4 linked regions of the Anolis sagrei genome follow. The protein of the gene in region 1 purifies or fractionates together with the protein of each later gene. This does not show direct contact. Links are inferred from orthologs where the notes say so. Each region holds a gene or a part of one and is shown in the gene's direction. Other genes may lie near its edges. The genes, in order: DDX21, C1QBP, DKC1 and ribosomal L1 domain-containing protein 1.

Evidence for each region.
Region 2: the proteins of DDX21 (region 1) and C1QBP purify together in Homo sapiens (co-immunoprecipitation; 3 studies listed by BioGRID and IntAct, with this or other methods). This does not show direct contact. The link is inferred for Anolis sagrei from reciprocal best matches to the Homo sapiens genes DDX21 and C1QBP.
Region 3: the proteins of DDX21 (region 1) and DKC1 purify together in Homo sapiens (co-immunoprecipitation; 3 studies listed by BioGRID and IntAct, with this or other methods). This does not show direct contact. The link is inferred for Anolis sagrei from reciprocal best matches to the Homo sapiens genes DDX21 and DKC1.
Region 4: the proteins of DDX21 (region 1) and ribosomal L1 domain-containing protein 1 purify together in Homo sapiens (affinity purification with mass spectrometry; 3 studies listed by BioGRID and IntAct, with this or other methods). This does not show direct contact. The link is inferred for Anolis sagrei from reciprocal best matches to the Homo sapiens genes DDX21 and RSL1D1.

What each region holds. Positions count from the first base shown.
Region 1 is NC_090023.1:170,858,743-170,867,087, forward strand, and holds the start of DDX21 (nucleolar RNA helicase 2), read left to right. Parts: upstream 1-5,205; 5' UTR 5,206-5,220; coding exon 5,221-5,556; intron 5,557-8,345.
Region 2 is NC_090031.1:35,466,561-35,474,639, reverse strand, and holds the start of C1QBP (complement component 1 Q subcomponent-binding protein, mitochondrial), read left to right. Parts: upstream 1-4,634; 5' UTR 4,635-4,649; coding exon 4,650-4,950; intron 4,951-6,588; coding exon 6,589-6,739; intron 6,740-6,855; coding exon 6,856-6,940; intron 6,941-7,868; coding exon 7,869-7,964; intron 7,965-8,079. Other genes in the region: PRPF8 (pre-mRNA-processing-splicing factor 8), read right to left, coding at 678-842, 985-1,153, 2,137-2,242.
Region 3 is NC_090030.1:15,196,497-15,204,378, forward strand, and holds the start of DKC1 (H/ACA ribonucleoprotein complex subunit DKC1), read left to right. Parts: upstream 1-4,352; 5' UTR 4,353-4,440; coding exon 4,441-4,459; intron 4,460-7,882. Other genes in the region: 40-kDa huntingtin-associated protein-like, read right to left, coding at 1,907-2,944.
Region 4 is NC_090034.1:24,515,787-24,524,060, forward strand, and holds the start of ribosomal L1 domain-containing protein 1, read left to right. Parts: upstream 1-5,080; 5' UTR 5,081-5,148; coding exon 5,149-5,175; intron 5,176-6,311; coding exon 6,312-6,454; intron 6,455-7,306; coding exon 7,307-7,445; intron 7,446-8,274. UniProt on the Homo sapiens protein: Regulates cellular senescence through inhibition of PTEN translation. Acts as a pro-apoptotic regulator in response to DNA damage.

The sequences.
Region 1 (8,345 bases):
CTTTAAAGTGAAAAAAAATTCTAGCTTCCATATTACTTACATGTTACAAAATAAAGATTATTTTGTTGTCATTATTAATCTAGTCAATATTTTTGATCTTTTTTTGTCTATAGGTAATTGAGAAATCAGTGGTTATGAATATATTAAATCATTTGTTTTGCAAAATGTTTTTTTCTAGAACCCAAAGTATGGCATCTGCTAGTTCTGCCATCTTGGATGGCCTGAAGAAAAGGAGAAGCTTCCTCCTGAATATGGAAGGCTTGGAGAAGACTATACAGAATGGAACGACTCTTACTTGCAGTTCCTTGCTTCAGTTGACTCCAGTTATGAATGTTTAATTTTTTTTTACTACCACATTTTTTCCTTTGTAAATATGTCAATATATATACTGTAAATGTCATAAGCTATCAAATATGTTAAAGTAGATTAAAGTCATAATAGTCCCCTTTTACCATGTATGGAAGCTTTTTAATAAACCTTTTCCTGCGCCTTTTTATAACCATCTTTTCTTTGTGGTAATACTTATATGGGAAAACAATGGAATTAAATTGTAATATATTTGCCTTTAGTGGCCACACAGAAATCCAAGATGTTTCGTTTGCTTTAGGCTCTAGTGCAGTGGTTCTCAACCTGGGGTCCCCAGATGTTTTTAGCCTACAACTCCCAGAAATCCCAGCCAGTTTACCAGCTGTTAGGATTTCTGGGAGTTGAAGGCCAAAAACATCTGGGGACCCAGGTTGAGAACCACTGCTCTAGTGTATTCGTCTAACGCAGTGATCTTATGGGGGTTCTGCAGACACACCCCAAATCTGGAGTCATTTTTCCCAGCTGCTCATTGATCTTATTACCTCCTATCCATACACTAAAAAAATTAAAATCACTTCCTTCTGTCAGTTAGGTATTCGGTTTTGTGCCCTGTGGGGCCCCTGTCCCTTATCCCATCCATTTTTCCCATGGGACATAGGGGTCTGCCTAAATCAGTGCTGCCTTATTTAAAATTGACTGATATGAGGATATAAAGGAGAACATCTTAATCCTGTGTACTTTGTTCACTTTGCTCATACTGAAAATGTCAAGCACCCTGCTATTAGCCATCAAGTTGGTTTTGATTTACAGTATGTAAATGAATGAGAGACTTCTGAGACAAAGTGACTTCCTTTACAGTGTAATGTAATGGGATCTTCCTACTGCTTTTCAAACCTTATTGCAGGCATCCTCAAACTGTGGCCCTCCAGCAGTTTGGCCCCCCAACTCCCAGAATTCCTGACCATTAAACAAACTGGCTAAACCTTCTGGGAGTTGGAGGCCTAAACAGCTTTTTTAATGGATGCTGTAAAGGAAGAGGAATGAATAAACGACAAATCTTATATAAATAAAAATGTAATGTTCGTTTGTGGTATTCACAGAACTCAACACCCACTGGACGAATTGACATCAAATTTGGACACAAGACACCTAACAACCCAATATATGTCCTTCACTCAAAAAAAATTGCTTTTGTCAATTTTGTCCCTTGCTCCCCCTTTTATTTTCCTTCTCCTCTCTCTCCTTTCTATCTTCTCTCCCTCTTTCGTTCCTTCCTTCCTTTGCTTTCTTTCCCTCCCTCTTTCTTTCTCTCCTTTCTTCTCTCCCTCTTCCCTTCCTTCCCTTCTTGACCACTTGCCTGGTGCTGGCAGGAAGGGAGCCTCGCAGCCAGGCGCGGTGCAGGCAGGAGGGAGGTGCTTTCGAGGCAGGCCAGCACCGCCCCTTCTTTTTTCTGCCATGGCCTTCCTGCCTGTTTGCCGGTTGGGCACGCAGGCAGGGTCACATGAAAGGCGCCTTGCAGCTGCAGCAGGAAGAAGGAGCTTGTCGGGATTGGCAGCTTGCAACAGATTTTCCTTCGCGTGGGGGGGAGGGGACATTCGCGCATGCGCTGTTATGAATTTTTGGCTTCTTTGGGGGATTAAGGTTAATTTTTTTTGTTTTATTGAGTGAAGGACATAGATTGCTTTGTGTGCTGTCTTGTGTCCAAATTTGGTGTCAATTTGCCCAGCGGTTTTTGAGTTCTGTGAATACCACAAATGAACATTACATTTTTATTTATATAGACTAGCCGTCCCCTGCCACGCATTGCTGTGGCCCACATGGGGGTTCTGTGTGGGAGGTCTGGCCCAATTCTATCATTGGTGGGATTCAGAAAAATCTGTGATTGTAGGTGAACTATAAATCCCAGCAACTACAACTCCGAAATGTCAAGATTCTATTTTCCCCATACTCCACCAGTGTTCACATTTGTGCTTATTGAGTATTCGTATAGTTTGGTCCAGATCCATCATTGTTTGTGTCCACAGTGATCTCTGGATGTAGGTGAACTACAACTCCAAAACCAAAGGACACTGGCCACCAAATCCTTCCAGTATTTTCTGTTGGTCATGGGAGAACTGTGTGCCAAGTTTGGTTCAATACCATTGTTGGTGGAGTTCAGAGTGCTCTTTGATTGTAGGTGTATTATAAATCTCAGCAACTACAACTCCCAAATGACAAAATCATTTTTTTGAGTGAAGGACATACATTGGGATGTTAGGTGTACGCTGTCCAAATTTGGTGTCAATTCGTCAATATTGAAATCTGAAAGATATACTGAAAGTCTTTGCTTGCAACATTTTTTTCCTTGCATTTGTTCCTGTTGAACTTCATATTATTATTATTATTATTATTATTATTATCTTTATTTGTACCCCGCTAGCATCTCCCGAAGGACTCGATGCGGCTTACAAAGGCCAAGGCCTCAAAACACAACATAACAATACGCAACCTAAATCAAATCAAAAACAGTTAAAGCAATATTAAAACAACAAGCAATAAACCAATACACAATAAAACTGGGCCGGGCCAGAGTATTTATTTATCGTGTCATCAGCAACCATTGTATTACAATTCTAACAGAGCAAAACAAACACAGAGATTAAAAAGAAAAAGAAAAAAAGAAAGAAAAAAAACCCACACAGATTTTGCAAATTTGGTATTTGGGCCAGAGTAATGGGTACAGATTAAAAGTGCTGATGTGGCAGGTGATATGTAGGATTATAGGGCAAGTTCAGTGTGCCAACAATCTTAATTTCTACTAAAGTGCTCTTGGGACTTGTTGGAGGATTCCTATTCTGGAAAGGCACATCGGAACAGCCAGGTCTTCAAATTCTTCCTAAAGACTGCCAACGTAGGAGCCTGTCTAAGATCTTTGGGGAGGGTGTTCCAGAGTTGGGGGGCCACCACAGAAAAGGCCCTGTCTCGCGTCCCCACCAGACGTGTCTGAGACCCAGGCGGAATTGCAAGCAGGGCCTCTCCGGATGAACGAAGTGAGCGCGTGGGTTCATAGACGGAGATGCGGTCACGCAGGTAGGCTGGTCCCAAACCATTTAGGGCTTTGTAGGTCAGCACCTGCACCTTAAATTGGGCTCGGAAAATAAACGGCAGCCAAAGGAGCTCCTTGAACAGGAGGGTTGACCTCTCTCTGTAAGGAGCACCAGTTAATTTATTATTTATTTACTTGTATACCGCAGTTTCTCAGCCCAACAGGCGACTCAACGCGGTTTACAACAAGGATAAAAATCAATCAACGATATACAATTTAAAACCATAAAAGCATAATATACAATATTGACACAACAATAGACAACACAATGCATCTCATAACTGTTAACATCCTGGCCGCTGCCCATTGCACCAATTGAAATTTCCGAGCCATTTTCAAGGGCAGCCCCACGTAGAGTGCATTACAGTAGTCCAGTCTAGAGCTGACCAAGGCATGGACCACCCCGGCCAGATCAGCCTTTGAGAGGTACGGTTGCAGTTGGCGCACAAGTCTCAATTGTGCAAAAGCCCTCCCGGACACCGCCGATTTTGTCAGTTTTGGCCAATCATCTCTCCAATCTGTGAAGCTCGTTTTGAATCCTGCTCCTCTTTAGCTTATTTATTTCTCGTGTCAGGGCAGCCAGTCAGTTATATTACATTTCTAACAGAACAAAGCAAACAAACAGAGAAAATACAAAATGTGTGTTTGATAGTTGATTAAATGTCCCTTGACCAGTATCTGGCCACTTGGAGTGCTTTTGGTGTTGCTGCAAAAAGATCCTCCATTGTGCATGTGGCAGGGCTCAGGTTGCATTGCAGCAGGTGGTCTGTGGTTTGCTCCTCTCCACACTCGCATGTTGTGGATTCCACATTTCTGAAGGTTGGCTCTGCATCTCGTGGTGCCAGAGCGCAGTCTGTTCAGCGCCTTCCAAGTCGCCCAGTCCTCTGTGTGCCCAGGGGGGAGTTTCTCATTTGGTATCAGCCATTGGTTGAGGTTCTGGGTTTGAGCCTGCCACTTTTGGACTCTTGCTTGCTGAGGTGTTCCAGCGAGTGTCTCTGTCTGGATTTAAGTCGTTGACGTGCTAGCTGATACCCAAACAGGGGATGAGCTGGAGATGTCACTGCCTTGGTCCTTTCACTATTGGCTGCCACTTCCTGGCGGATGTCAGGTGGTGCGATACTGCCTAAGCAGTGTAATTTCTCCAGTGGTGTAGGGCGCAGACACCCTGTGATAATGCGGCATGTCTCATTAAGAGCCACATCCACTGTTTTAGTGTGGTGAGATGTGGGTTGTTGTAGGTTTTTCCGGCTATATGGGCATGTTCTGGAGGCAATTTTTCTCCTCAGAGAAAAGGCAAGCATCCTCAGAGGTAGTGAGGTGTGTTGGAAGTAGGAAAAATGGGTTTATATATCTGTGGAATAACCAGGGTGAGACAAAGGACTTTTGTCTGCTGGGGCTAATGTGAATGTTTCAGCTGATCACCTTGATTAGATCACCTTGGTGAGATGTGTTCCACACTGGGCATGCATACTCAGCAGCAGAGTAGCACAGCGCAAGGGCGGATGTCTTCACTGTGTCTGGTTGTGATCCCCAGGTTGTGCCAGTCAGCTTTCGTATGATATTGTTTCTAGCACCCACTTTTTGCTTGATGTTGAGGCAATTCCTCTTTAGCTGGGAATAGTAGAGACCCCGCCCCACACTACATTTCCCAGAGTTCTGCGCGAGGCAGAAGAGGCGCGTGGGCGTCCTCTTTCAAACGCCGGTCTGACGAGAGACACTCTTTCCCTGGCGCCCCCTCAAGGCGGGCCCCTGAACTGCGGGAAGGCAGGCCTCACCCGGCGCTCCTCTTCCCGGCCGCGGCCTAGTCAGGGCTGAGGCGCCGGTGGGGCATGGGCTGGTGGTGCCGCTGCCTGGCGCAGTCCCGGAAGGCCCTCCGCCTGGCCCCGGCCTGCTGGAGGGCGCCATTTTGCGCCGCCCCCCTCAGCCGCGCGCCGCCTCCCCCCTCCTCCCCCTCCCCCTCCCTCCTCTTGGGCGGGGCGGAGCTGCTCCTTCCTTTCACGCCGGCCTCGGCCCCGACCAGCCGCTTCTGCCACCAGCTCCGCGGCGGAGATTGCCAGGCCATGCCCGCAGCCCCCCGCCCCGACGACAACGACGACAACGAGATGGAGCTCGAGGCCGCCCTGGAGCCCGAGGACGCCCTGGAGAGCGGAGGGAAGAAGCGCAAGGTACGCGGCGAGGGGGAAGGACGGAAAGAGGGAAGGACAAGGCCCAGGCGCTTACGTAAGGCCGACCGGGCCTCGTGGCTGACGGGAAGGAGAAGCCGGCCTCCGAGCCGGAAGCGCGGCCTGTTCGTGGCGCAGAGAAGTCAACCAAGAGGAGGCCTCTCTTTCCCACGGGCCTTCCCGCCCCCTCCAAAGTCCCTTAGAGTTAGGCCTCGCCACCCGCGTTTGTGTTCTACGGCCTTTCTGTTCCGCCTTCGCTGTTGCGCACGTGGCGGGCTTTCCCCTCCCCGTCCCACGACGCAGACATTTCCTTTAAAACAACAACAAAACTGTTCCCGTTTTGAAAGTGTTGTTTCTTGTTTAATTGTCCCCAGAGTATATTTCCTCACCCGTATGAAGGTCTATATTTATAACCCCGTTCCTTTACGAGTTTCCCCCCAACATCCCTGTCTCATCCTGATTTTAGTATTTTTAGTATCTTAGTTTTTATTTTGCTCATTGTTATGTTATTTTATTTTACCGTGTTATGATTTTGCTTTATCGTCTTTGTACTCATATGTTGTATTATTATTATTATTAAACTTTATTTGTACCCCGTTAGCATCTCCCGAAGGACTCAATGCAGCTTACAAAGGCCAAGGCCTCAGCACAACAACAACAGACAATAACAATACGATACAAAGCAAATTAAAAACATAAGCAATAACAAAACATTACACTATTACACAATAAAAACCAGGGCCAGGCCAGTGATGGGTACAGGTTAAAAAGGGCTGGGTGTGGCAGGTGGTATGTTGGAATTCTGGGCAAGTGCAATGTGCAGAGAGTCTTAAACTCTAATACAGTGCTTCTGGGACATAGTGCTGAGGGTTATCCTATTCCGGAAAGGCACATCAGAATAGCCAGGTCTTCAAGTTCTTCCTAAAGACTGCCAATGTGGGTGCTAGTCTAATGTCTTTGGGGAGGGTGTTCCAAAGTCGGGAGGCAACCACAGAGAAGGCCCTGTCCCTCGTCCCCACCAAATGCACCTGCGATGCAGGTGGAATCGTGAGCAGGCCCTCTCCGGATGAATGAAGGGAGAATGTGGGTTCATATACGGAGATGCGGTCACGCAGGTAGGCAGGTCCCAAACCGTTTAGGGCTTTGTAGGTAAGCACCTGCCCCTTGAATTGGGCTCGGTAGGTAAACGGCAGCCAATGGAGCTCCTTAAACAGGAGGGTTGACCTCTCTCTGTAAGGAGCGCCAGTTAACATCCTGACCGCCGCCCGTTGGACCAGTTGGAATTTCCGAGCCGTTTTCAAAGGCAGCCCCACGTAGAGCACATTACAGTAATCCAATCAAGAGGTGACCAAGGCATGGACCACCCCGGCCAAATCAACCTTTGCGAAGTACGGTCGCAGCTGGCGCACAAGTCTTAGCTGTGCAAAAGCCCTCCCGGCCACCGCCGACGCCTGAGCCTCAAGCGTAAATGATGAATCCAGGAGAACTCCCAAGCTGCGGACCTGTGACTTCAGGGGGAGTGTAACCCAGTCCAGCACAGGTTGCATTTTATTGTGTTGTTATTGGTTTTACATTATTGTAATATGCTGTTGGGCTTGGCCTCATGTAAACCGCCCCGAGTCCCCATTGGGGAGATGGTGGAGGGGTATTAAATAACGTTTATTATTATTATTATACTTCTTATTATTATTCTTCTTATTCTTATTATTATGCGGTCCTGACTTTAAAAGTAGTTAATAATAATAATAATAATAATAATAACACTTTATTTGTACCCCCTACCATCTGCCCAAGGGACTCGGTGCGGCTTACATGAGGTCGAGCCCAAATACAACAATACAAGCAATAAAACAACAATACAAGCAATAAAAAAACAATACAAGCAATAAAAAACATAATAAAATATACAACATTATCAATAAGACAACACACAGTTAAAAACAGTGGGAAGGCCCAAATGTAAGGTTAAAATTAGAAGTAATGCTGGGACATGGACAAAAAGGTGATACACATATATATACACACACAACACATATACACAGAATGGGCCACAGCAACGCATGGCAGGGGACGGCTAGTGAGAACATAAAAATAATGACAGATGCAATAATAATAAAGCACCTACTTCAGTTTAAAACTTTCCCTGTCTAAAGTATACTGCACTTATAGCTCTAATACAATTTTTCTTTACATACTGTTATTTACCTCTATCTGCTTTCCCTTTATTTCTCCTAGTGTAATCATTGTTTGATTTTTGTATGTTATGAATGGTTCCATTCAAAATACGTATGGCTCTCTGGGTGTAAGATACACATGGGTCTTCGGTTGTGGGTGGATTGCTCCCATCCTTCTCCCTCACATAACCCAACCCAGTCAGTATTTAAAGTTGGGTCTGTCTACCAAGATGGATCCAGATCCATTCTTGGTGGGTTCACAGGGCTCCCTGGAAGTGGGCAGACTACAATTCCCATCATCCTGGGTCATCCCACAGACATGTTACCAGTATTTTAAGATGGCCATGATGGGTATGTTTGGCCCAGATCCATCGTTGCTGTCCATGACGGGGCTCTCTGGATGTGAGAGCCATCCTGGAAAATATATATTTTGAGATAGATAGGGTTTTTTTTAAACATTTTCTTAGCTTGTAATAGTACATTGGATGTTTACAGCTCATGTACTTCGTACAAGCAATCCCTGTGGCTCAGTGGGGACTCAAATCAGAATCTCTCCGTCCATTCTTTAACCACCTGTTGTTGTTGTTGTTGTTGACAATGAGTTATGAATTAGAACTC
Region 2 (8,079 bases), on another chromosome or scaffold:
ATAGAATCTGAGGGTTGGAAGAGGGAAGGAGAAAAGGAAGGCAAGAAGGGTAGAGAAGGAAGGAAGGAGAGAAGGAGGGAAAGGAGAGAAAGAAGGAAAGAAAGAAGGTTAGAGAAGGAAGGAAGGAGAGAAGGAGGGAGAGAAAGAGGGAAGGAGAAAAGGAAGGAAAGAATGTATAGAGAAGGAAAAAGGGAGGGAAAGAAGAAAGGAAGGAGAGAAAGAAGGAAAGAAAGAAGGGTAGAGAAGGAAGGAAGGAGAGAAGGAAGGAGAGAATGAAATAAAAAGTGAAAGAGGGAAGGAAGGAGAGAAGGAACGAAAGAAAGAGGGAGGGAAGGAAGGAGACAAGGAAGGATGGAACCAAAGAGTAAAGGAAGTGAGAAAAGAAACAGGTAGAGAAGGAAGAAAGAGGGAGGGAAAGAAAAAGAGGGAAGGAAGGAAAGAGGGAGGGAAGGAGAGAAGGAGAGAAAGAGGGGGGAAGGTTGGCCACAGCAACATGTGGCGGGTACAGCTAGTTTTACATAATTATATCTGGTTGTATCCCACAAGAGAAGATTCTACTCTCAAGGGCGTTTGGCTCTTCTCTGAAAGGTCATGCTTTTCTAACAAGTTATGCTCTACAAAAGGTGTTTCCCACAACATTGATGGAGAAGTAAGGGTTGGAAGGGCCCCCCGCTTACCCCCACTGGGCGATGTAGACGGGCTCAATGACCCACGGGATCTCATTCACGAAGGAAATGGCGCCAGTGATGTGGTACAGGACGGGGACGTCACGGATCTGCTCCCAGGGCATTGGCATGTTCTCCAAGAGCTTCAGCACCGCGTGAGGCATGTATTTCAACGCCCTGGTGGAGATCACAGAAGTTACAAAGAGGGAAGCTTTGGTTGCTAAATGGCAAGGAGTTCAGCCCAAAGAACCCCAGACCGAGCCTTCTGGCTCTCCCCAAAGCCAGCCAGGTTCCCCCACATGCTAAGCTCCTTCCTCACCCCAAATAGACCCGCTTGTCATGTCGGAACTTCCTGTTGGTCATATCTCCATGGTCACGGATGATTTTCCTCACATGCTCCGGAGGCATGTCCTCCTTCTGCGCATCCACAAAGCCAAACTTCCGCTTCTCAGCGTAGCGCTTGGCCTGCAGCTGCTGCCATTTGCGGGCTGCGAAAGCCAGAACACACTCACAATAGAGGCAGAGCTTTCCCCAAAAGAGCCAAAGCACCCCCCGCCCAAAGGGAATGATACTGCCAGGATCCTATAATTAAGGCCTGTCGTATATTAGGGATTTACTCATTATTTTTATTATACTCTGCTTTTTTTCTCTATGAATAAGAGACTCAGAGGGGCTTAGAGTTGCCCTTGGGCTGAGAATTGCGGTATATAAGCACAGTAAATAAATAAATAAAACAAATAAATAGAGTGAAGCCAATAATAATAATAATAATAATAATAATACTTTATACCCCGCTCCATCTCTCCCAGGGGGACTCAGTGCGGCTTACATGAGGCCTTGTCCAAAAATACAGTATCATAATATAACACAAAAGCATAACAAAACCAGAAATAAAATACATCAAATGCAAAAGCAATATAATAAATGAAGAACAAAAGCAAATCAAACATTAAAACACAGAGGATTAGGCTGGGCAAGGCCGAACTCAATGATAAATTTGTTAAACGCTGGGAGATAGGACAATATAAATTATTAGAAGGAGGATCCGGGGACAGGGAAGGATTTAATTGCACGAACCATAAAATAAAGTGCTTCTGAGGTCATTTTATGCAAAGTTTGGTCAGGGAGTATCTTACATTTAGGCCAATACAATTTAAGGCCTAAAATACACAAACATTAAAATAGAATTCAATATTAATGGTATATAAATAAACTATTATTATTACTTAGATCTTGCTATATTTCTCTAAAAAAATACTCAAAGCAGCTTATTGTAAAACCAATGCATACAATTGAAATCCACCTAAAAATATGCCAATATTAAAATATAATTAAATGTCAATGGTATTATAATAAGCAGTAAAAACTCTTAAATCTGATTAAATAACATAGACCTATGACGGAATAATTTGACAGATCAGCCTGGCTATGTCAACTAACAAGGCGATATAAGAGCGTGAACATATCGTACCTTTCTCCTGGAGCTTCTCCTCGGACATGTAGTCTGGCAGCGGAGCCATAGGGGCCGGCATCGGAGGGCAGGGCCCCCGGAAGGGAGGGAACACGCCAGTTGCCATGGCCGCAGGTCAGGCCTAAGGGAAGGGAAACAAACATGTTATTAATATATACTATTAGTATAATACATTACTATGGTATATTATTATATTGTACTATACCACTATAATGTCATATAACATGTATTATATAATATGCACCTGCCTATCTATAATATACTAGCCCTCCCTTGCCACACATTGCTGTGGTCTAGCCTGTGTATATATGTTTTGTGTTTGTGTGTATGTGTGTGCGTATATATTTGTGTGTATATGTGTATTTGTGTGTATATGTGGTTTTGCACATGCTTTGTAATGTATTTTTTTTTTGTTTTTCGGCTTTTTAAGTCTCTTCTGTTGTGTTTTCCAGTGTTTGTCAGTGTTTTCCAGTGATGGTCACTCGTTGGCCTGAGAGGGGTCTTGTGTCCAAATTTGGTGTCAATTTGTCCAGTGGTTTTTGAGTTATGCCAATCCCACAATAAATCATTACATTTTTATTTATATAACTAGCCGTTCCCTGCCACGAGTTGCTGTGGCCCACTCTGGTGGTCATGGGGGTTCTATGGCCCAATTCGTTGGTGGGGTTCAGAATGCTCTCTACAAATCCCAGCAACTACAACTCCCAAATGTCAAGTTTCTATTTTCCCCAAACTCCACCAATGTTCACATTTGGGCATACTGAGTATTCATGGCAAGTTTGGTCCAGATCCATCCTTGTTTGAGTCCACAGTGATCTCTGGATGTAGGTGAACTACAACTCTAAAACCAAAGGCCAATGCCCACCAAACCCTTCCAGTATTTTCTGTTGGTCATGAGAGAACTATGTGCCAAGTTTGGTTCAATTCCATCGTTGGTGGGGTTCAGAATGCTCTTTGATTGGAGGTGAACTATAAATCCCAGCAACAACAACTCCCAAATGACAAAATCTTTTTTTTTAGTGAAGGACATACATTGGGCTGTTAGGTGTCTTGTGTCCAAATTTGGTGTCAATTTGTCCAGTGGTTTTTGAGTTATGTTAATCCCACAAACGAACATTACATTTTTATTTATATAATTATACAATATAACAATACACAATAATGCACCATAATGATAATATATTAAACATAATATTATTGTTAATATATAATACACACACAACTATATATATATTACCGTTTTATTATTGAATATCTGAAGTTGTAATATTTTTATTGTGAGCTGCTTTGAGTATCAATATGGAGATAAAGTGGGATACAAATATAAATAAATAATGGGGAGGGGCAGTTAAATAAAATTCTTATCATTAATTATTATTAATATTAATTAATATTATTAATAAGACATGAGTCCTTGGCCTAGACTGGAAATTGAAGTCTTCTGCACACACTCTGTGTGTCTTTACTAATTACTCCTGTGTTAATTTATTGTAATTAATTAATTAATAATAAGCACAGGAGTAATTAGTGAAGTGTGTGCAGAAGACTTCAATTTCCAGCCTAGGCCAAGGAGCAAGGCCTTGGCCAATCAGACGCGGGCAGGAGGAAGAGTAGCCAATCAGCAAACAGTATGCAAATGCGCCAAGCGTGGGCCTAGTCCTGCTTCGGGCGCCTCCTTGGCGTAAACCAGAAACCCATTCTCGCTCCTTCTTTTCTAAAGTATCTCATTATGCATATGCAAATAAGCCCAATTATAGCGGGGAATAAAATTCGGGATGACTACTGACCTTCCGGCCTGGTATCTTCCCTTCTCTCCTCCCCTCCTTCCTTCCTTCTTCTCTCTTTTCCTCTCAGGCGAAGGACTCGTAATGGCGGCCGCCTTCGCCGCCTCTGCGTGAGAATCTCACACTGCGCAGGCGCCACTCTCCGGAAACGGATGAGGCGTGGAAAGGATTTCGCAGCCGGCCAATCGACGAGCGCTGAGAGTGAGGGGGCGGGGAAGGGAGAAGGTATCCGCCCCTTTTTTCTCTCAAACGCATGCGCAGTGAGGGCGGGAAGGCAACGCGCCGGAAAGGGAAAGGGACGGGAACCTTTGATGCGCGTGCGCACTAGCGAGGGAGCTCTCTTTTTTCTCTTTCTCCGGCGCGTGCGTAGTGAGAGTGTGAAGGCACCTTTGATGCGCATGCGCACTAGCGGGGGAGCTCGCTTGTCTCTTTCCGGCGCGTGCGCAGTGAGGGCGGGAAGGCAACACGCTTCAAAGGGAAAGGGGCGGGCTCCTTTGATGCGCATGCGCAGTAGCGAGGGAGCTCCCTTTTATCTCTCCAGCGCGTGCGCAGTGAGGGCGGCAAGGCAACGCGCCGCAAAGAGAAAGGGGCGGGCACATTTTTTGCGCATGCGCACTAGCGGGGAGTTCTCTTCTATCTCTTCGGCGCGTGCGCAGTGAGGGCGGGAAGGCAACACGCCGGGAATGAGAAAGGGGCGGGAACCTTTGATGCGCGTGCGCACTAGCGGGGATGTGCTTTTCCCCGCCCTTTCCGGCTTTCTGCTGCTGCTGCTTCCACTTCCGGTGCGCGTTCCTTTCCCCTCAGACGGCCATGCTGCTCGCTCGGGTCCTCCGCTCTTCGGCTTCCGCGGCGCTTCGGCCTTTCCAGGCGCGGACGGGCGCCTCCAGCCTGGCTCCGCGGCTGCTCCCCGCCGCCCGGCCCTTCACCCGCTCGCTGTGGCAGCTCCAGGAGCGCAGGCCTCGCGGGGGAGGGGGAGGCCTCAGGAGCCTGCCCTCCGCCCCCTGCGCATGCGCGGGCCTCCACACTGAAGGTGAGCCTCCTCCTCCTCCTCCATTCACCTCCTGGCCACGCGCCTGGCATCGTCCCCTGGACAACCTCCTTGCAGACGGCCCATTCTCTCACGCCAGAAGCGACTTGCAGTTTCTTAAGTCGCTCCTGACACCACAAGTAATAATAATAATAATAATAACAAAATAAAAATATTCTCTGAAAATAGGGTTTTGAATGCGTTCTCTCTGGGAATAGGATCTCTGTGCCTAGGAAGAGAATAATAATAATAATAATATATTATATATAATTTTATAATATTATATTATATATTATAATAATGTTAGAATTATATATATATATATATATATATATATATATAATAATCGTATAATAATGTAATTATGGGAGCTTTGGTGTGGGCTGGTTGTTGTTGTCATGCTTTCAAGTCATTTCAGACTTAGGTTGACCCTGAGCGAGGGCTGGGGAAATGACCTTGGAGGGCCGCATCCGGCCCTCAAGTCTTAGTTTGAGGATCCCTGGCTTAGACAGATAAACACATACATAGGATAGATACAGATATACTTACATAGTTGCATAGCTACAAAGAGACAGCTAGATTAGATAAACAGATGCATAGATCAGATACAGACATGCATACATAGTTGCATAGAGGGATAAATACAGATAGATCAGATAGGCAGATGCATAGATTAGATGCATAGTTGCATAGATAATAGCTACAGATAGATTAGATATATTGATAGTAATATATAATACTGATATTGTACTATACTAATAATATATTATATTGTATGTATATATTTTGTAAGCCGCTTTGAGTCCCCTGAGTAAGGGGAGAAGGGCGGGCGGCATATCCATGTCGCAAATAAATAATAAATACATAGATAGGTCCATAGATTAGGTCAGTGTTTCTCAACCTGGGGGTTGGGACCCCTGTGGGGGTCATGAGGGGGTGTCAGAGAGGTCACCAAAGACCATCAGAAAATACAGTATTTTCTGTTGGTCTTGGGGATTCTGTTTGGGAAGTCTGGCCCAATTCTATCGTTGGTGAGGTTCAGAATGCTCTCTGATTGTAGGTGAACTACAAATCCCAGCAACTACAACTCCCAAATGTCGAGGTCTATTTTCCCCCAATTCCACCAGTGTTCACATCTGAGCATATTGAGTATCCGTGCCAAGTATGGTTCAGATTCATCATTGGTTGAGTCCGTAGTTCTGTCTGGATGCAGGTGAACTACAACTCTAACATTCAAGGCCAATGCCCACCAAACCTTTCTAGTATTTTCTGTTGGTCATGGGAGTTCTGTGTGCCAAATTTGGTTCAGTTCCATTGTTGGTGGAATTCAGAATGCTCTGATTGTAGCTGAACTATAAATCCCAGCAACTACAACTCCCAAATGACAAAATCAACCCCCCCCCCCAACCCCACCAGTATTCAAATTTGGGTGTATTGGGTATTTGTGCCACATCCTACCTATCTGATACTTACACAACGATTCATAACAGAAGCAAAATGACAGTTCTGAAGTAGCAACAAAAACAATGTTATGGTTGGGGGTCAACATAACATGAGGAACTGTATTAAGGGGTCGTGGCATCAGGAGGGTTGAGAAACACTGGATTAGGTGGATAGCTCTCACCTGTGTGTTCTTGGCAGGCGACAAAGCTTTTGCGGAGTTCCTGGTGGACGAAATCAAGGAGGAGAAGAAGATCCAGAAGCACAAGTCATTGCCCAAAATGTCCGGCGGCTGGGAGCTGGACGTCCAAGGCACCGAGGCCAAGCTGGCGCGGAAAGTGGCCGGCGAGACGTAAGGGGCGCCTCCTCCTCCTCCTGGGTGGGGTCAGGTGGGGGTCTCCCACCCCTCTTGTTATATCTCTCTGGAGTTTGCTCACCTTGGGCTCCTCCTCCTGGTTCCGTCCACAGGGTCACGGTGTCCTTCAACATCAACAACAGCATCCCGCCGAGTTTTGACGAGGCTCCAGAAGGACAGAAGCCGGACGAGCAAGAAGTAAGTGGGGGTCCTTTTATTATAGACTAGCTTGGGTCCCTGGCATTGCCCGGGCTATTAGAAGAAGCCACTTTTTAATTGTCCCAAATGCCTAAGATTCTAGATGAACTACAACTCCCATCATGCCAGGGGAACTCCCTGAAAACCCATCAATATTTAGTTTGTCATGTTAGGCAAATTTGCTTTAGATGCATCCTCAGTGGGGTTCAGTGTGCTCTCTGGCTGCAGGGTGAACTACAACTCCCACTGTGGTCAGTCCTGTCAAATCCTTCCTTGGTCATGGAGGTTATGTGTGCCAAGTTAGACGCAGTTCCATCAATGGTGGGGTGCGGAGTGCACTTTGATCACAATTGAACTATAAATCCCAGTACGTACAACTAACCGATGTCAAGGCCAATCCCTCCCCCCCCCCCCCCAACTCACCAGTATTCAAATTTTGGCATATGGGGTATGCGTGCTGAATTTGGTGCAGATCCATTACTGTGTTGACATTGCTCTCTGGATGTAGGTGAACTATAAATCCTAAAAATCAAGATGAATCCCCCCAAGTCCCTCCTACATTCTTTTGTTGGTCATGGGGGTTTTGTGCGCCAAGTTAGGCCCAGGTCCATCATTGTGGGGTCCAGAGTTCCCTTTGATTGCGGGTGAACTATAAATCCCAGTACCTACAAGGACTGTGAATCAAGGTGAATTCCCCCCAAACCTTTCCAGTATTGCCAGCAGCTTACAGAATGGCAGTGGAATCCTAGAGTTGGGAGAGGCCCCCAAAGGGCATCTAGTCCAACCCCTTTCAGCCAGGTGGGAAGATGCAACCCAAACCCTCCCGACAGAGGGCCATGCGTACTCTGTTCACGAAGACTCCACCAGTTCTCCCAAAGGGAAGGCAGTGATCAAGATGGCTAAACAGAGGTCTGTTTTTTTCCTGCAGCCGGATCTCACGTCGACCCCGAACTTTGTTGTGGAAGTCACCAAAGATGACACCAAGCAGACCCTGGTGCTGGACTGCCACTACCCTGAGGACGAGGTGAGTGGAGGCCCGTGTGGGCCGTTCCCAAGTTGCAAACATCCGACTGACAAACGACTCACAGTTAAGAACAGGGCTGAAGCAACTGGGAATGAGGGGAATCCACCCCCCCCCC
Region 3 (7,882 bases), on another chromosome or scaffold:
TCAGTGAGTGCTCTTTCCCCCACCTCCGTTTCAGGCTCCGTTCCTTAAGATGCGGGGATGTTGCCTCCTGGAGCTACCATTCTGCCTATGCTTGGACCCAGACATTCCCACCCTGCAGGAGCTTCCACCTTAAATAGAGGATTAATAGTTTACCACTGACTCCATCTTGGTGGACAAAGCTGACAATATTAATTTATCAAAGAGCTATTTTTATACCTTTATACAGATTTTAATGGTTTAATTGTATTATCTATTAAACTGGCTTTAGCACAGCAAGTTTATCACCAGCTGCAGTAAATCTTGCCAACTGAAAGGCTGACAGTTTGAAGCTGGATCAGGGTGAGTTCCTGACCTTCAGCCAAGCTCTCCGCCTATCTAACAAATTGAAAACAGCAATGTGAGTAGATAAATAGGAACCACATTAACCGGGGAGGTATTTTAGGCACAGTGTTCAGAGAAAAGTTTACAAACACAAAAAGCTCTTCAGCAAGATGGAAAAACAGCACCCCTTGTGGCAGGAACCAAGCACAGCCTCCAAAGATGCTGAAGAAATGGGGAAAAGTCTATGTAATACCTCTGTCTGTTGTCTGTCTTGTCACTGTATAATCGGCATTGAACGTTTGCCATATACATGTTCTGTGATCCACCCTGAGTCCCCTTCAGGGTGAGAAGGGCGGAATATAAATACTGTAAATAAATAAATCAATCTATGGGGCCTGGCTGACTGACTTAGATGCTTTTAGCCAAAGATGTTTAAACTGCTTTAATTGTATGTTTCAATGTTTTCATTTCAATACTGTACACGACATTGAATGTTTGCCATTTTTGTTTATGGAAGCCATCCTGAATCCCTTCAGGGAGAGAGGGCAGGTTAAAATAAAACTTTATTATTATTATTATTCCAGTGGAAACACACAGCCCAGCCCTGTCCAGATGTGTGAGGGCTCACACTTCCATTATCCCCTGTGAGTGCTCATTCTTTTCCTCATCTCCCTTTGAGGACCCGTTTCCTAGGATGTGGAGATGCCACCTGCTACGATCAGTATTCAGTCTGCTCTTGGGCTCAGACATGCCAACCCTGAAGTCTGAAGCCATCGCTCTAGATCCAGGTCTAGAAGCCCTGCCCTGAAGGCCGGATCATCTCCTGCAGGACCAAATGGAGGAGGTGGTTCTGCTCAGGGCTGAGGAGTGGCCAGAGCTCCTTCTGCAGGGCCTTGAGGGCCAGTGTAACGGAGCAGCAGGTAGAGTTTGGCAGGAATGTAGCTGGGCGAGGCGTCCAGGGCCTCCCAGGAGTACTTCTCCAGGGTCTGGGCATGTTCGGGGAGCAGCTTGGAAGGTGGCGGCTGGAGCAAGAGCAGGGGGAGGACGCGGGTGACTTCGAAGCGGAGCAGTTCATCCAAGAAGGCACCTGGGAGTTGATGAATCGAAGCAGGAGAAGCAGAGGCGCCTTGGGCCTTAGTGAGCAGGGCCAGGGCGCCATCGTGGTCCCTGCAAAGGAGGAGGCAGGAGGCGGCCTGGCTGTGGGCCCTTTGAGGACCTGTTTCCTAGGATGTGGGAATGCCACCTGCTGCAGCCACTGTTCTGTGTGCTCTTGGGTTCAGGCATTCCCACCCTGCAGTCTGCAGCCATCGTTCTAGATCCAGGCCTAGAAGCCCTGCCCTGAAGGCTGAATCATCTTCTGGAGGACCAAATGGAGGAGGTGGTTCTGCTCAGGGCTGAGGAGTGGCCAGAGCTCCTTCTGCAGGGCCTTGAGAGTTGATGAACGGAAGCAGGAGAAGCAGAGGCGCCTTGGGCCTTAGTGTTTCCTAGGATGTGGGGATGCCACCTGCTGCAGCCTCTGTTCTGTGTGCTCTTGGGCTCAGGCATTCCCACCCTGCAGTCTGAAGCCATCGTTCTAGATCCAGGCCTAGAAGCCCTGCCCTGAAGGCCGGATCATCTCCTGGAGGACCAAATGGAGGAGGTGGTTCTGCTCAGGGCTGAGGAGCGGCCAGAGCTCCTTCTGCAGGGCCTTGAGGGCCTCCAGGTCCTTCTCCTGGCAGGCCATGACGGTAGACTGGAGCAGCAGGTAGAGCTCGGCAGGGATGTAGCTGGGTGAGGCATCCAGAGCCTCCCAGGAGTACTTCTCCAGGGTCTGGGCATGTTCGGGGAGCAGTTTGGAAGGCGGCGGCTGGAGCAAGAGCAGGAGGAGGACGCGGGTGACTTCGCAGCGGAGCAGCTCGTCCAAGAAGGTGCCTGGGAGTTGCTGAATGGAAGCAGGAGAAGCAGCAGAGGCGCCTTGGGCCTGTCCTTGGGCCTTAGTGAGCAGGGCGAGGGCGCCATCGTGGTCCCCGCAGAGGAGGAGGCAGGAGGCAGCCTGGCTGTGTGCCCGCAGCGCCTCCAGGGGCAGCTGGGCCAAGACCAGGAGCTCCCCCGCGCGGAGGAAGGCGGCCACGGCTTGGGCGGCCTCCCCGGCGCCGCGCAGCTCCTCGCCCAGCTCGAGCCACAGCCCGGCGGCCAGGGCGGGCTGCCCGAGGTCGAGGCGGAGTCGGGCGGCGAAGGCGAGGCAGCTCTGGGCGGCCGGGAGGTGGTGCTCGGCCAGGCCCAGCGCGGCGGAGGCAGGCCCGCCTTGGCGGAGGCGCAGCTCCCGCTCGTGCCGCAGCCACAGCCGGGCCGCCTCCGTCAGCGCCGCCGCCTCCCCCGGCGCGTGGCCCAGGCTCTGCGAGCAGCGCGCCACCGCCAGCTGGCACCAGGCCGCGTGGGGGAGGCTCTCCTGGGCGCGCAGCTCCCGAGCCAAGGCCCAGAACTGCTCCGCCGCCTCAGACACGTTGGGCTTGCGGAGGAAGCGGCGGCGAAGCTTGGCCGACACCGCCCGGTAGCGGGACAAGAAGTCTCCGCCCGCCCCGCCGCTGCCGCCTTCCCCCGAACCGAAGCCCGGAGGCGGGCCGGAGCCTGGAACAGACAGCATTCTCCCTTCCTCCCTTCCTTCCCTCAGGGATGCCAAAACAACACTGGAGGCGCGCTTCCGGTCCGGACGGGATGTGACGACACGCTCTCGCACTGGAGGACTCGGATGTTAAGAAGGGGGCGTGGCTAAGAGTGTGTTGCTATAGTGATGAGAGGGAGCTCTTGGACTAAGAGGAGGGCCTAGCACAGGCTGAATCATAGAATCCTAGAGTTGGAAGAGACCTCATGGGCCATCCAGTCCAAGCCCATTCTGCCAAGAAGCAGGAATATTGCATTCAAATCACCCCATATTTATTTGTCATGTCAGATTAACCAGTCAATTATATTACATTTCTAACAGAACAAAGCAAAAAAACAGATAAAATACAACACTTCTGAGTTTGGTACTATGTTAAATGTCCTTTGGACATTTAATCAACTACCAAGCTTGCAAATTCTATGTTTTGTCTGTCTGTTTGTTTTTGTTAAAAATGTAATACAAATGTATTGTCGAAGAGGAAAGGTGTTCCTGCCATACATCAAGGGAACCACTGACCGCATAGGGAAGCTGATGAGGAAACACAACATACAAACTATCTACAAACCCACCAAGAAAATCCAACAAATGCTACGTTCAGCAAAGGACAAGAGGGATCCTCTCACTTCTGCAGGAGTCTACCGTGTACCATGCAGCTGTGGACAAGTCTACATAGGGACCACCAAACGCAGCATTGCCCAGACACGCATCAAGGAACATGAAAGGCACTGCAGACTACTTCAGCCAGAGAAGTCAGCCATAGCAGAGCACCTGATGAACCAGCCTGGACACAGCATATTATTTGAGAACACAGAAATGCTGGACCACACCAACAACCACCATGTCAGACTACACAGAGAAGCCATTGAAATCCACAAGCATGTGGACAATTTCAACAGAAAGGAAGAGACCATGAAAATGAACAAAGTCTGGCTACCAGTATTAAAAAACTCTAAAATTATAACAGCAAAACAACAGAGAGGAAACAACCAGGCACAGATTAACACCTCCCAGCAACAGATTTTCCCAGGTTCAGGCAGGCCTTCAAATGCTAATGAAGGTGATCAGCTAAACATTCACACCTAACTGCAGCAGGGAAGAGCTCCTTGCCCCACCCCAGCCATTCCACAGATCTATAAACCCATTGTCCTATTTCCAACAGACCTCACTACCTCTGAGGATGCTTGCCATAGATGCAGGCGAAACGTCAGGAGAAATGCCTCTAGAACATGGCCCTATAGCCCGAAAAAACCCACAAGAACCTTGTAATACAAATGTCTGGTTGCTGATAAATAAATAATGAGGGTGCAATTTCCGGCGTGGCCACTAGGGGCGTTGTGGATCCCTCTGGCCAGTTTGTTTCCAGCCCGCCCTGGTGCCGCGTTGCCTCTCGGGAGCGGAAGTGGGCGTGGCGTCCCTTTCCGGCCGGAGTGAGCGCGCGGGTGTAGCGTGCTCCAGAGGCAGCGCGTGGCGGAGGCAAGATGGCGGACGGTGGCGCAGGTGGGTTCCTTGCTGTTTAAAGTTTAAGAGTCAGGGCAGGAGGAGGCTTTTGTTGAATTGGAGGAGGGCGCTTCCCCCCTGGGTCTGAGAGGAAGCATGCTCAGAAGCAGCCCTGTGAGGGCCACAAAGGGAGGGGAAGCACTCCATGTATGCTCAGAGGTAGCCTTGCCATCTTCCCTATCAGGGCCACAAAGGGAGGAGCAGCTTAGGCTTTCTCCTCCTCAGTCAATGGGGCGAGGAGATACAAAGAAGGCGTTGCAACCAGGCCTTGGGTACTTTGGGTCTTTTTGATGAGAAGAAAGAATAGTAGTAATAATAGCTATATAAATAAAAATGTAATGTTCATTTGTGGGATTAATATAACTCAAAACCCACTGGACGAATTGACACCAAAGTTGGACACAAGACACCGAACAACTCAATGTAGGTCCTTCATTCAAAGAAATTGATTTTGTCATTTGGGAGTTGTAGTTGCTGGGATTTATAGTTCACCTACAATCACAGAGCATTCTGAACCCCAACAGTGATGGAATTGAACCAATCTTGGCACACAGAACTCCTACGGCCAACAGAAAATACTGGAAGGGTATTTTTAGTGCCACGACTGACCATTATAGTTATTGATTGTAATTGCTGTTTTAATGTTTTACTGTAATATGTATTATGATGTTTTATTGATTGTATGTGATATTATGGTTGGAAACAGGTCTGAGTCCCTCAAGAGAGGTGAGAAGGCCGGTATACAAAACTTTTAAATAAATAATAAATAGAGTTTGGTGAGCAGTGTCCTTTGGTTTTGGAGTTGTAGTTCACCTACATCCAGAGAGCACTGTGCACACAAACAATGATGGATCTGGACCAAACTTGGCACAAATAATCTACACGAATACTCAATATGCCCAAATGTGAACACTGGTGGAGTTTGGGGGAAATAGAATCTTGACATTCGGGAGTTATAGTTACTGGGATTTATAGTTCACCTACAAACACAGAGCATTCTGAAATCCCACCAACGATAGAATTGGGCCAAATTTCCCACACAGAACTCCCATGTTTGCCACAGCAACGCGTGGCAGGGGATGGCTAGTATAAATAAAAAATGTAATGTTCGTTTGTGGGATTAACATAACTCAAAAACCACTGGATGAATTGACACCAAATTTGGACACAAGACACCTCTCAGGCCAACGAGTGGCCATCACTAAAAAAAGACTGAAAAACAGCAGAAGAGGCTTTAAAGCCAAAAACTACAATGCAGGCGCAAAACCACACACGCACATATATGCAAACACACATATTCACATTTTGCATGTACATCTATATAAATAAAAATGTAATGTTTGATTGTGGGATTAACATAACTCAAAAACCACTCGATGAATTGGCATCAAATTTGGACACAATACACCTCTCAGGCCAACGAGTGACCATCACTCATAAAACACTAAAAACACACACACAAGAGACTTAAAAAGCCAAAAAACACATTACAACAAATGCTTAAAACCACACATATATATGCAAACACACATATATACACATACACACAAATATATACACACTCAAAACACATCTACACAGGCTGGGCCACAGCAACGCATGGCAGGGGACATCTAGTTATTACTATTCTTTTATGTTTGTATTATTATTAGTATTCTTTCCTAATAATAGAATTGGCCTGAGAGGTGTCTTGTGTGCAAATTTGGTGTCAATTCATCTAGTGATTTTTTAAGTTATGTTAATCCCACAAACGAACATGACATTTTTATTTATATAGATTGGATGTAAGAGCCTAAGAGTCTGTTTTGGGAAGGACTGTAGGGATATAGAGATATATATCATAGACAGATATGGATAGATAGATAGATAGATAGTAAGATAGATAGATAGATAGATAGATAGATAGACAGACAGACAGACAGACAGACAGACGCTATATATCAGGCAAGGGCTAACTTTGGCCCTCCTGGTGTTTTGGACTTCAACTCCCACAATTCCTAACAGTGGGAGTTGGAGACCAAAATACCTGGAAGGCCCAAGTTGGCCCATGTCTGAAAGAGATAGATGGATAAATATTCTATAGGTTCAAATGTTCAAGCTTCATTATGTAAATGGCATGTCTCATCTATAAAACACTAAAACCAAAGTTTGACTTTTCAAAACATATTTTTTCAAAACATCTGTCCCTGCGTTCAGAATCTGTGGATGGCCAAACTACTATCCTCCACATGTTTGCGTCTAATGCTTTGAGCGGGATTGTATTGCGCCCTTTTCCACTTTCATGCCAAAGCCCTGAAGCACATGGAAGATTGATGGCGGCAACTGCTAACAGTACACTATGTAACAAAATTTGAAAAAAAAAATCTGCCCCTGATTTGAAAGTGTTCTTTCTAGTTTAATTGTGCGGTCTTTGAAAAGAGTTGTTCTACTCCAGAAACTGTCTGGAATTGGTTGAGACTATGTAAGATATTAGTTGAAAACCTATAGCAAAATAATCTGCAGGATCTCCGTCAAAATAATAATAATAATAACACACCTTTTTCATGTTTTTATGATAGAACTAATCAGGAAATGACATTTATAACCCAGGAACAAAAAATGTATTATTATTGTATTGCAGCATTAAAAAGTGTTCTTGTAACAATGCAAGTATGATATTGCAATTTAAATAACTGCATTGTTGCATATATATAGAGAGAGCAGAGAAAAAAGTAGCCCCCAAAGTTTTTAGTCTGTAGCAGCTGCTGCCATTGCCTTGTGGATAGTCTATGTATTCCATTCCCTCTGGTAGAAGGTGGCTCCCATTGTGCTTTCCATGCTTTTATTTTCTGCTCCTACCAATGTTGCTGATCTTGTAGAAGCTGAATGACAGTTGCAAGTGGTAAGAGCAGGAGCTTTAGCTCAGTTTTTCCCCCCGAGCTTGTAATATAAAATATACATATTCCAATGCTTCTAGCTAGAAAAAGCCATGTTACTAATAAAGCGGCGAAATGCGAGCATTTGTGCTGGAACATGGACTTTTTGGAAAGACAAATTTAGCTCAATAGTGTTGCAGTAGTAGAAAAAAAATCACAAAAACTGAATGGTTAGTCCTTTGTGCCTAAATCTTAGTCAAAGGCTGGATCTACACTGGCATATAATCCAGAGAATTATCAAAGCAGATAATCTGGATTTTATATGGCAGTGGAGATGCAGCCAAAGGAGTTTTTTTCCTTGAAGGCATATACTTTTCCAAAGGACATGGAAGGATATCCTGCCCCAGATCTCAGCACGTGTGGTGTTACCGCTGAAGTGGCCTTTAGTTCGTCCTCCTGCTCTGCTTTTCTATGCTAAATCCCAACGACTTTTTTGCCTCCTGTTGGTGAAGTCAATATCACTGCTAGCTGTGGTTGTATCAGTGAATGAGGATGTTTTTTGGAAACT
Region 4 (8,274 bases), on another chromosome or scaffold:
AAATCTTAATATGCTAATGCAAATATGGTACTATTTAATTAGTGTTTGTTTGTTTTCTCTCTCCGTCTATACTGGCCAACAAACTTACTGGGACTGTTATGTGGCAACTTGTGCAATAATACTGGAATACAATATTCAATTCCAACTGGGTTTCAATTATCAGTTGATGATCAAAGTTACTTTCTTCATTCTGTCTAATTTGAAAGACTGGAGAATCTGTGTTCATTTTTCTTTAAGAGATCTGAATTGAGCCTGATAGGCCTTCCATGAGTAGTTGGTATTTAACTGGCAGAAACTTGATGTAATCTCACTGGATTGATGCAGTTTAATAGTAAAGGTTTGCTCATTGCAATTGAGATGAATATCAACCACAGGCTATACGTTTCTGCACATCAGAGTCTGAACTAAAGGAAAGCCAAAGTGTGTTCCAGGCTTTCGTGGCTGGAATCATTGGATTGCTGTGAGTTTTCCTGGCTGTCTGGTCATGTTCCAGAAGCATTCTCGCCTGACTTTTTGTCCATATCTATGGCAAGCATCCTTAGAGGTTGTCAGGTCTGTTGGAAACTTGGCAAGTGAGGTTTATATTTCTGTGGAATGATGTCCAGGGTGGAAGAAAGAACTCTTGTGTGCTTGAGGCTAGTGTGAATGTTGCAATTGGCCAGCTTGATTAGCATTTAATAGCCTTGCAGCTTCAAAGCCTGGCTCCTTCCTGCCTGGGGAATCCTTTGTTGGGAGGTGTTAGCTGTCCCTGATTGTTTCTTCTTTGGAATTCCCCTGTCTTCTGAGTGATGTTCTTTATTTACTGTCCTGATTTTGAAGTTTTTAAATTCTAGTAGCCAGGTTATGTTTATCTTCATGGTTTCCTCTCTGTTGAAATTGTCCACATGCTTGTGGATTTCAATGGCTCTCTGTGTATTCTGACATGGTGGTTGTTAGAGTGGTCCAGCATGTCTGTATTCTCAAATCAGGGCCAGCTAACACCTCCAAACAAAGGATTCCCCCAGACAGAAAGCAGCCAGGCTTTGAGACTGTAAGGCTATTCAGTTCTATTCAAGCTGGCCAATTGTAACATTCACACTAGCTTCAAGCACACAAGAGTTCTTTCTCCCACCCTGGGCATTATTCCACAGAAATACAAACCTCACTTGCCTAGTTTCCAGCAGACCTCACAACCTCTGATGATACCTGCCATAGATGTGGGCAAAACATTAGGAGAGAATGCTTCTGGAACATGGCCATACAGCCCGGAAAACTCACAGCAGCCCAAAGCAAAAGTGAATTATAGAACTTGTGGCTGGCAATTAAAAAGAACGGGGTACTAAATTCATATATCTGTGTGTAGGCTGAGCATGGGATCTGTGCCATTGTAAAACTGGGGAGAAAGCAGAAATTGAGTGATGTGCAATGATGCTCATGTGTTTAATGGCAATCTCCAGTATTAGGTTCCTATAGAAGGCTGGTTTCCAAGGTCCAAGATGCTTCTTCGATTATACCTTTTTACCTTTGTATGTTCAAAGTGTAATAATGTGCCCATTCCCCAAAGTCTACAGTCATGGAACTGTTCCATTTATTCTACTATAAATCTGAAATGTTTTCCCCCTGGTTGTTTATTTGTAATCATGGAACTCCCATCCATTTTACATAAGGCTACATTGTATGGACAAAGCAAAATTGATTGTCCTTCAGTTTCATATGACTATACTTGTAGCTACAACAATGCATGAAAACATTAAATAAATTTTATTATGTCTGCATATTTCTGCCTTTTATTTTTCTGGGAATTACAAAGTGATTTTTCAGAAAAGATCACAATTCAGATTTTCTTTTATAATACACTAATGTAAGGGAATGGCAGAGGGAACTGGGTATATTTAGCCTGGAGAAAAGGAGGAGGAGAGAGCCATATGTAAGTATTTGAAAGGAGGTCCCATTGAGGAGGAAGGAACAAACAGACTTGTAGAAATTTCTGTGGAGCCAGGGATTCAAAGGGCAGGAAAAGAGATTCTGCCAAAACATTAGGAAGAACTTCCCAAGGGTCAAAGCTGTTCAAGGTGGAGTCTCCTTCTCTGGAAGTTTTTAAACAGGCTGGATGGCCATCTGTCAGGAGGGCTTTGATATCTGTATTCATGGCAGAAGGCGGGACTGGATGGCCCTCTTCAAGTCTATGGCTCTAATTAAAATATCCTATCTGTGAAGAGAACCCAGCTCTGTTAAAAGACATGTCCAAACTTGCCTTTTGTCATTGGGAAATGTATAAAAGGGAGTTGTTTTCTCAGGGTTGATTGGAAACCAAACCTCTCGCAGCTTCCTTTCAACTTCAAGATGCTGGTCCTGTCGGATATCTGACCACTGAACCTGCAGCCCAGTCGATGCCACCTTTTTCATCTCTACATTCACAGATTCAACTTCAGTCTTGATGTGTTGATTCACTTGAGGATTCTGCTAATTTTCTTCCTTTGTTTTGAGATGAGGAGTGTCTCCCAACCCTCTCAGGCTGGATCTACATTGCCATATAATCCAGTTTCTGAACCCAGATGATCTGATTTGCACTTGATTATATGACTTTATATTGCCATATAGTCCCAACTCAAAGCAGATCATCTGGATTCAGAAACTGGATTACAGGCCGTCCCTGAATTACAAATATCCAACTTGCAAACGACTCCTAGTTAGGAACGGGGATCAGACAACAAGAAGCAAGACAAATCTTCCCCCTTGGAAGGAAGCTTTTCTCCAATCCTTGTTTTTCCACAACAAGCCAAGTTTTTTTCAAAATCCAATTCTCACAAGGACAGGAAATGTGAAATCTGGGCACAGACGGCAACACAAACACCACAAGAGTGTTCACCCTTCCCTATGCTATCCAAATCATGCATGCATGCATGCATATATATATATATATATATATATATATATATATATGGAGTTAACACTAAAAAAAGTTCCTGTTCCAACTTACATACAAATTCAATTTAAGAACAAACCTACAGAACCTCTCGTTTGTAATTTGGGGGCTTGGGCCTGAATATGGTAATGCAGACGGGGTCTCACTGTTGATCCTGATCCTCTTTACTACCACCTACTGATGATTTTAGGTTCTTTGCAGAACAAATGTTACATTTCACCAGAGTTGTAGTTTTATAAGGTCTTTATAGCCTTCCCTGCCAAAGACTGCTGGTGCCTCACCAAACTAAAACTCCCATGATTCCCTATGGGGAAAAAGTGGGATAGAAATAGTTAATAATAACAACAACAATTTATTTGATATATTGTGTCATAAGCCAATTGAGGGACCGGTTGTAATGTATTTAAAAACACAAACAGATGTCTTTGACCAGAACTGGCCACTTACAGCCACGCTGGTGTGGCTATAAGAAGGTCCTCCACTGTGTGTGTGGCAGCACTCAGGCTGCATTGTAGTAAGTGGAATGAGGTTTGCTCTTGCTTGTTGAGGTGTTCCTCAGTAGATCTTAGGAAGCTATTGATACACGGTGCTGGCGTACTGGCTGATATCCGAACAGAGGATGGGCCGGAGATGTCCGTGCCTTGGTCCTTTCATTACAGGCTGCTACTTCCTGACAGATGTCAGGTGGTGCAATACCAGCTAACAGTATAATTTCTCTAGTAGTGTGGGATGTAAACATCCTGTGATAATGTGGCATGTCTTCAGGAGCCACATCCACTGTTTTAACGTGGTGACATGTATTTCACATTGGGCATGTGTACTCAGCAGCAGAGTAGCAAAGTGCAAGGGCAGATGTCTTCACTGTGTCTGGTTGTGATCCCACGTTGTGCCAATCAGGTTTCATATGATATTATTTCTAGCAGCCACTTTTTGCTTGATAGTCAAGTAGTGCTTCTTGTAAATCAAAGCATGGTTCAGAGTAACATCCAGGTATTTTGATGTGCTGCAATGCTCAGGTGGGATTCCTTCCCAATTAGTCCCCAGAGCTCAAGATGCTCGTCTGTTCTTAAAATGAAAAGCACATGTCTGCATTTTAGATTGATTAGCAATCAGCTGGTTTTCCCTGTAATAGGTAGTAAGAGTATCTAAAGCTTCAGAGATTTAGTATTATATTAATATATAATAATAATAATATAAAAATAATGATTTCATAGCACTTAGGTAGAGCAGTTGTGCTGAACTGCATTAATTCAACAATGTAAATGCAGCCTAAACAAATGTAACATACAGCAAGGTACTAGATTGGACTGTCCTCTTTGGGTGGTTTTAATGGCAGTCGAGGATTTGATTAAAGCAATCAGAACCGGAAGGGGATATAAAAGGAGTATATGTAAATAAAGGTATTAAATGTAAAGGTAAAGGTTCTCCCCTGAAATTAAGTCCAGCCATGTCTGACTCTGGGAGTTGGTGCTCATCTCCATTTCTAAGCCGAAGAGCTGGTGTTGTCCATAGAAACCTCCAAGGTCAGGTGGCCATAACTGCAAGGAGTGCCGTTACCTTCCCGCCAGAGCGGTACCTACTGATCTACTCATATTTGCATGTTTTCGAACTGTTAGGTTGGCAGAAGCTGGGGCTCACAGGGGAAACTCACACCACTCCCTGGATTCGAACCTGCGACCTTTCGGTCAACAAGTTTAGCAGTTCAGTGGTTTAACCCAAAATAAATAGTGTTAGCATTTCAAATTTTAAAACCCTTACTAATGGCTTTTGTTTTTGAAGGCCTGTTGAATTTTGAGGCTTTGAATTTTATCCTGAAGGAGGATGGATAACAGCCAGATCTTAAAACCAAGCAGGAGAAAACCATTCTTTCGACTAATCCCAATCGGCAATGCCATTTAATGCATTTTAGCAGCATTAAACCACATTAGTGTAGACTTCAATGTCTTTAAACTGCATTATATGGCAGTCCGGATGCGGGCCTAAGCATAAGACTAAAGAGGGACCAAAACTTTTGAGGTGAGAAAGTGTGCTTTGAAAGTTTGGTACTAGTTTGAAAGTGTTACTCCTGTTTCACTGTGTGATACTTCCTTTGGACGTTTGGCCCCTCCGCTCCAGCATCCAAGGAGACCTCTCTGCTTCCGCCTCCTCTTCCGGGAGGAGCCCTAGAGAGGCGGTCGCTCGCGGTGACATCATTAGAGGGCGACTTCCGCTCTCATCAGCGCACGAGGCACGGGCAGGCAGGCATGGCGCATCAGCCGGATCCCCAGCAGGTGAGGCTGAGTAGCCATCTGTTGGGAGGGCTTAGATTGTGCCTTTCCTGCAGATAGAATGGCTTTGGACTGGATGGGCCCTTTGTGCCTTTTCCCACTCTCGGATTCTGAGGCTGGGTGGCCATCGGTTGTGCCTTTCCATTAAGCAGAATGGGGTCGGACTGGATGGTCCTTGGAGGTCTCCTCCAACTCTAGGATTCTATGATTCCGAGGCTGGGTGGCCATCTGTCGGGAGGGCTTTGATTGTGCCTTTCCCGCAGGCAGAATGGGGTCGGACTTGATGCCCCTTGAGGTCTCGTCCGGCTCCAATAAGATTCTATGATTCAGAGGCTGGGTGGCTTTGGGAAGACTTTGTGCCTTTTCTATAGGCATAATAGGGTTGGACTGAATGACCCTTCGGGTCTCTTCCAACTCTAGGGATTCTATGATTCTGAGGCTGGATGGCCATCTGTCGGGAGGGTTTTGATCGTGCCTTTCCTGCAAGCAGAATGGGATTGGACTGGATGACCCTTCAGGTCTCTTCCAACTCTAGGATTCTATGATTCAGAGGCAGGATGGCCATCTATCGAGAGGGTTTTGATTATGCCTTTCCTGCAAGCAGAATGGGGTCAGACTGGATGGCCCTTGGGGTCTCCTCCAACTCTAGGATTCTATGATTCTGAGGCTAGGTGGCCATCTGTCGGAAATGCTTTGATTGTGCCTTTACTGCAGACAGGATGAGGTCGGACTAGATTGCCCTTGGGATCTCTTCTAACTCTGGCATTCTATGGTCATAGCCCCTGAAGCATGGCTTGGTGGCCATCTGTTGGGTGGCATTTGTTTGTGTCCTGCCTGGCAGAATCAGCTTGAGTTGGATGGCCTTTGGGGTCTCTTCTATTTTTCGGATTCTATTGAAAATTATTGGGCAAATGACTCTCAGAGCTTGGGAAAGTATTTCTGGTTATAAATTACTGGGTCCCCAAGTCATAATGGGCACTGGGTGTGCCAGCTCGAAAATTCTGGGAATTGTAGTCCAAAAAAAGTAAGGTTTCCAAGTTCTTTCCCAACCAAATGGGACTCTCACTATTGCTGTGACATTTAAAATGTTCCTATTTCACAGAGATTTAGACAAGCAAAAATCATATCTGCTTTTACAGATTAAAAAGGCTGCTCTCGCATTGCTTGCACATAGCAAGAACAAGAAGAATACGGCCGAGAAATTGCTTTTAAATGAGGACCGGAGTTTATTTTTAATGATTACCGTCTGGAAGATCCCACTGCGTGAGCAAGTCATCAAAATGTAAGTCTAAAAATCAGTGTGGGAGCCCCCTATGGCCCCCGCAGCACTGTTTGCTGCTGGTGCCAAATGCCTTCGAGGACAATAATAATATACTTTATTTATCTCCCCGGAGGGACCAAGAGCAGATTACAGTTTATATGTATAAGGTAAACATTCAGTACCTTTTAACACAGTGAACAACGACATAAAATACTTAGAGAGACAGAGGTAAAGCCTTCCCCTTTCCATCTCCAGCGTCTGGAGGCAATGCTGAACTCTGGCCATGGGGAGGTGCTCTTGTTCCATGCCGAGTATCCAGTTGGCCATAGACTTTCTTTGTCTGCATGGGTAGCCCTTTATCCTTCCCACTGAGGTGGTACCTATTAATCTACTCGCATTACATGTTTTCGAACTGCTAGGTAGATAGAACTGCTAGGTAGATAGGGCTGACGGCAGGGAGCTCACTCCGGCTCGTGGCGTCAAACTGCTAACCCTCCAGTCAACGGATTTCCTGCAAGTAGCGGTTTTAACCGCTGCACTAAACAATAGTCCAGAACTATACAAATGTCTCTTCTGGTTTTTGGAAATAGTTTGTTTTTGTTTTGTATTTTGGCTGAAATTGTGCTAGAAATGGTGCAAATTGCCACTCCTGGCATTCCTAGAAGATGCAGCATCCTTTCCTCCTCTTTTTAGTCAGAAAAACAGTGGTCTTAGTTGTGGAGGCAGGAGAGAATCCAGGAAAACTGTGGCAGTCAACCCATTATAAAATGGATCCAGCGTCACTTGCAAAGTGTGACTGTACTTAACCCTCCTTGCATTTGAGGTCAAAACACTCTGTGCATTCTCTCAATGCCACTGCTTTGTTTCTTACAGACCCCTGCCTCATAATATTCAGCCTGCAACGGCGGAGGTTTGCCTCTTCACGAAAGATGAGCCGGATTTAACAGCAGAACAGACGGAGAACCTGTACAAGAAGCTCTTGTCCCAACATGGGATCACAAGCATCACTGAGGTATGAAAGACACAAATGTTCATGGGGTGTTACATCCTTTTTGAGTCACTGGGGAACATTGCAAGGTCACAATGCTTTAGCTGTCTGATCAGCAAGTGGTGGTGACATTAGCCATTACCATCACCACCTCTTGGGCTTCCCTGTTCCTGCTCAACTTAGCTGTATTCCTTCCAGTTGGTTGTGCAAGGAAGACTGTGTTTTCTCTAGCAACAATCCCAGTTGGAAAATATTTAGAGATAGTCTTGCATGGGCAAGTAAGAGTCATTTCATTTACAAAATACCTGTTCTTGATGAAGCCAAAAAGCAGAATGTATCAAGGTGAATTTTCCCCAAAGACCTCCAGTGTTTTTTGGTGGTCATGGGGCTCTGTGTGCCAAGTAGGTTCCAGGTCCATTGTTGGTGGAGTTCAGAGTACTCATTGATTGCAGGGGAACTATAACTCTCAGTACCTTCAACTACAGCTCCTCTGAATCCCTCCAAAGACCTCCAGTATTTTTTGTTTGTAATGGGGGTTATGTGTGCTAAATTAGTTACAGGTCCATTGTTGGTGGAGTTCAGAATGCTCTTCGGTTTCAGGTGAACTATACATCTCAGTACCTACATCTCCTATAAATCATGGTGAATTCTCCCCAAACCTCTCTAGTATGTTCAGTTGCTGATCAATTCCTCTGTTTACTGTGTGCCATAGAAAAGAATAGGAAAGGGTTATGGGAGAGGCAGTGGGCAGGGTCATGCAAATTCCACTCCAATGGAAAGAGTAAGAAACACTGGGATGTAAGTGGTAGAGGAAAAACAGAAAATCTAGGATGAAATTGTCCCCGTATGAAAG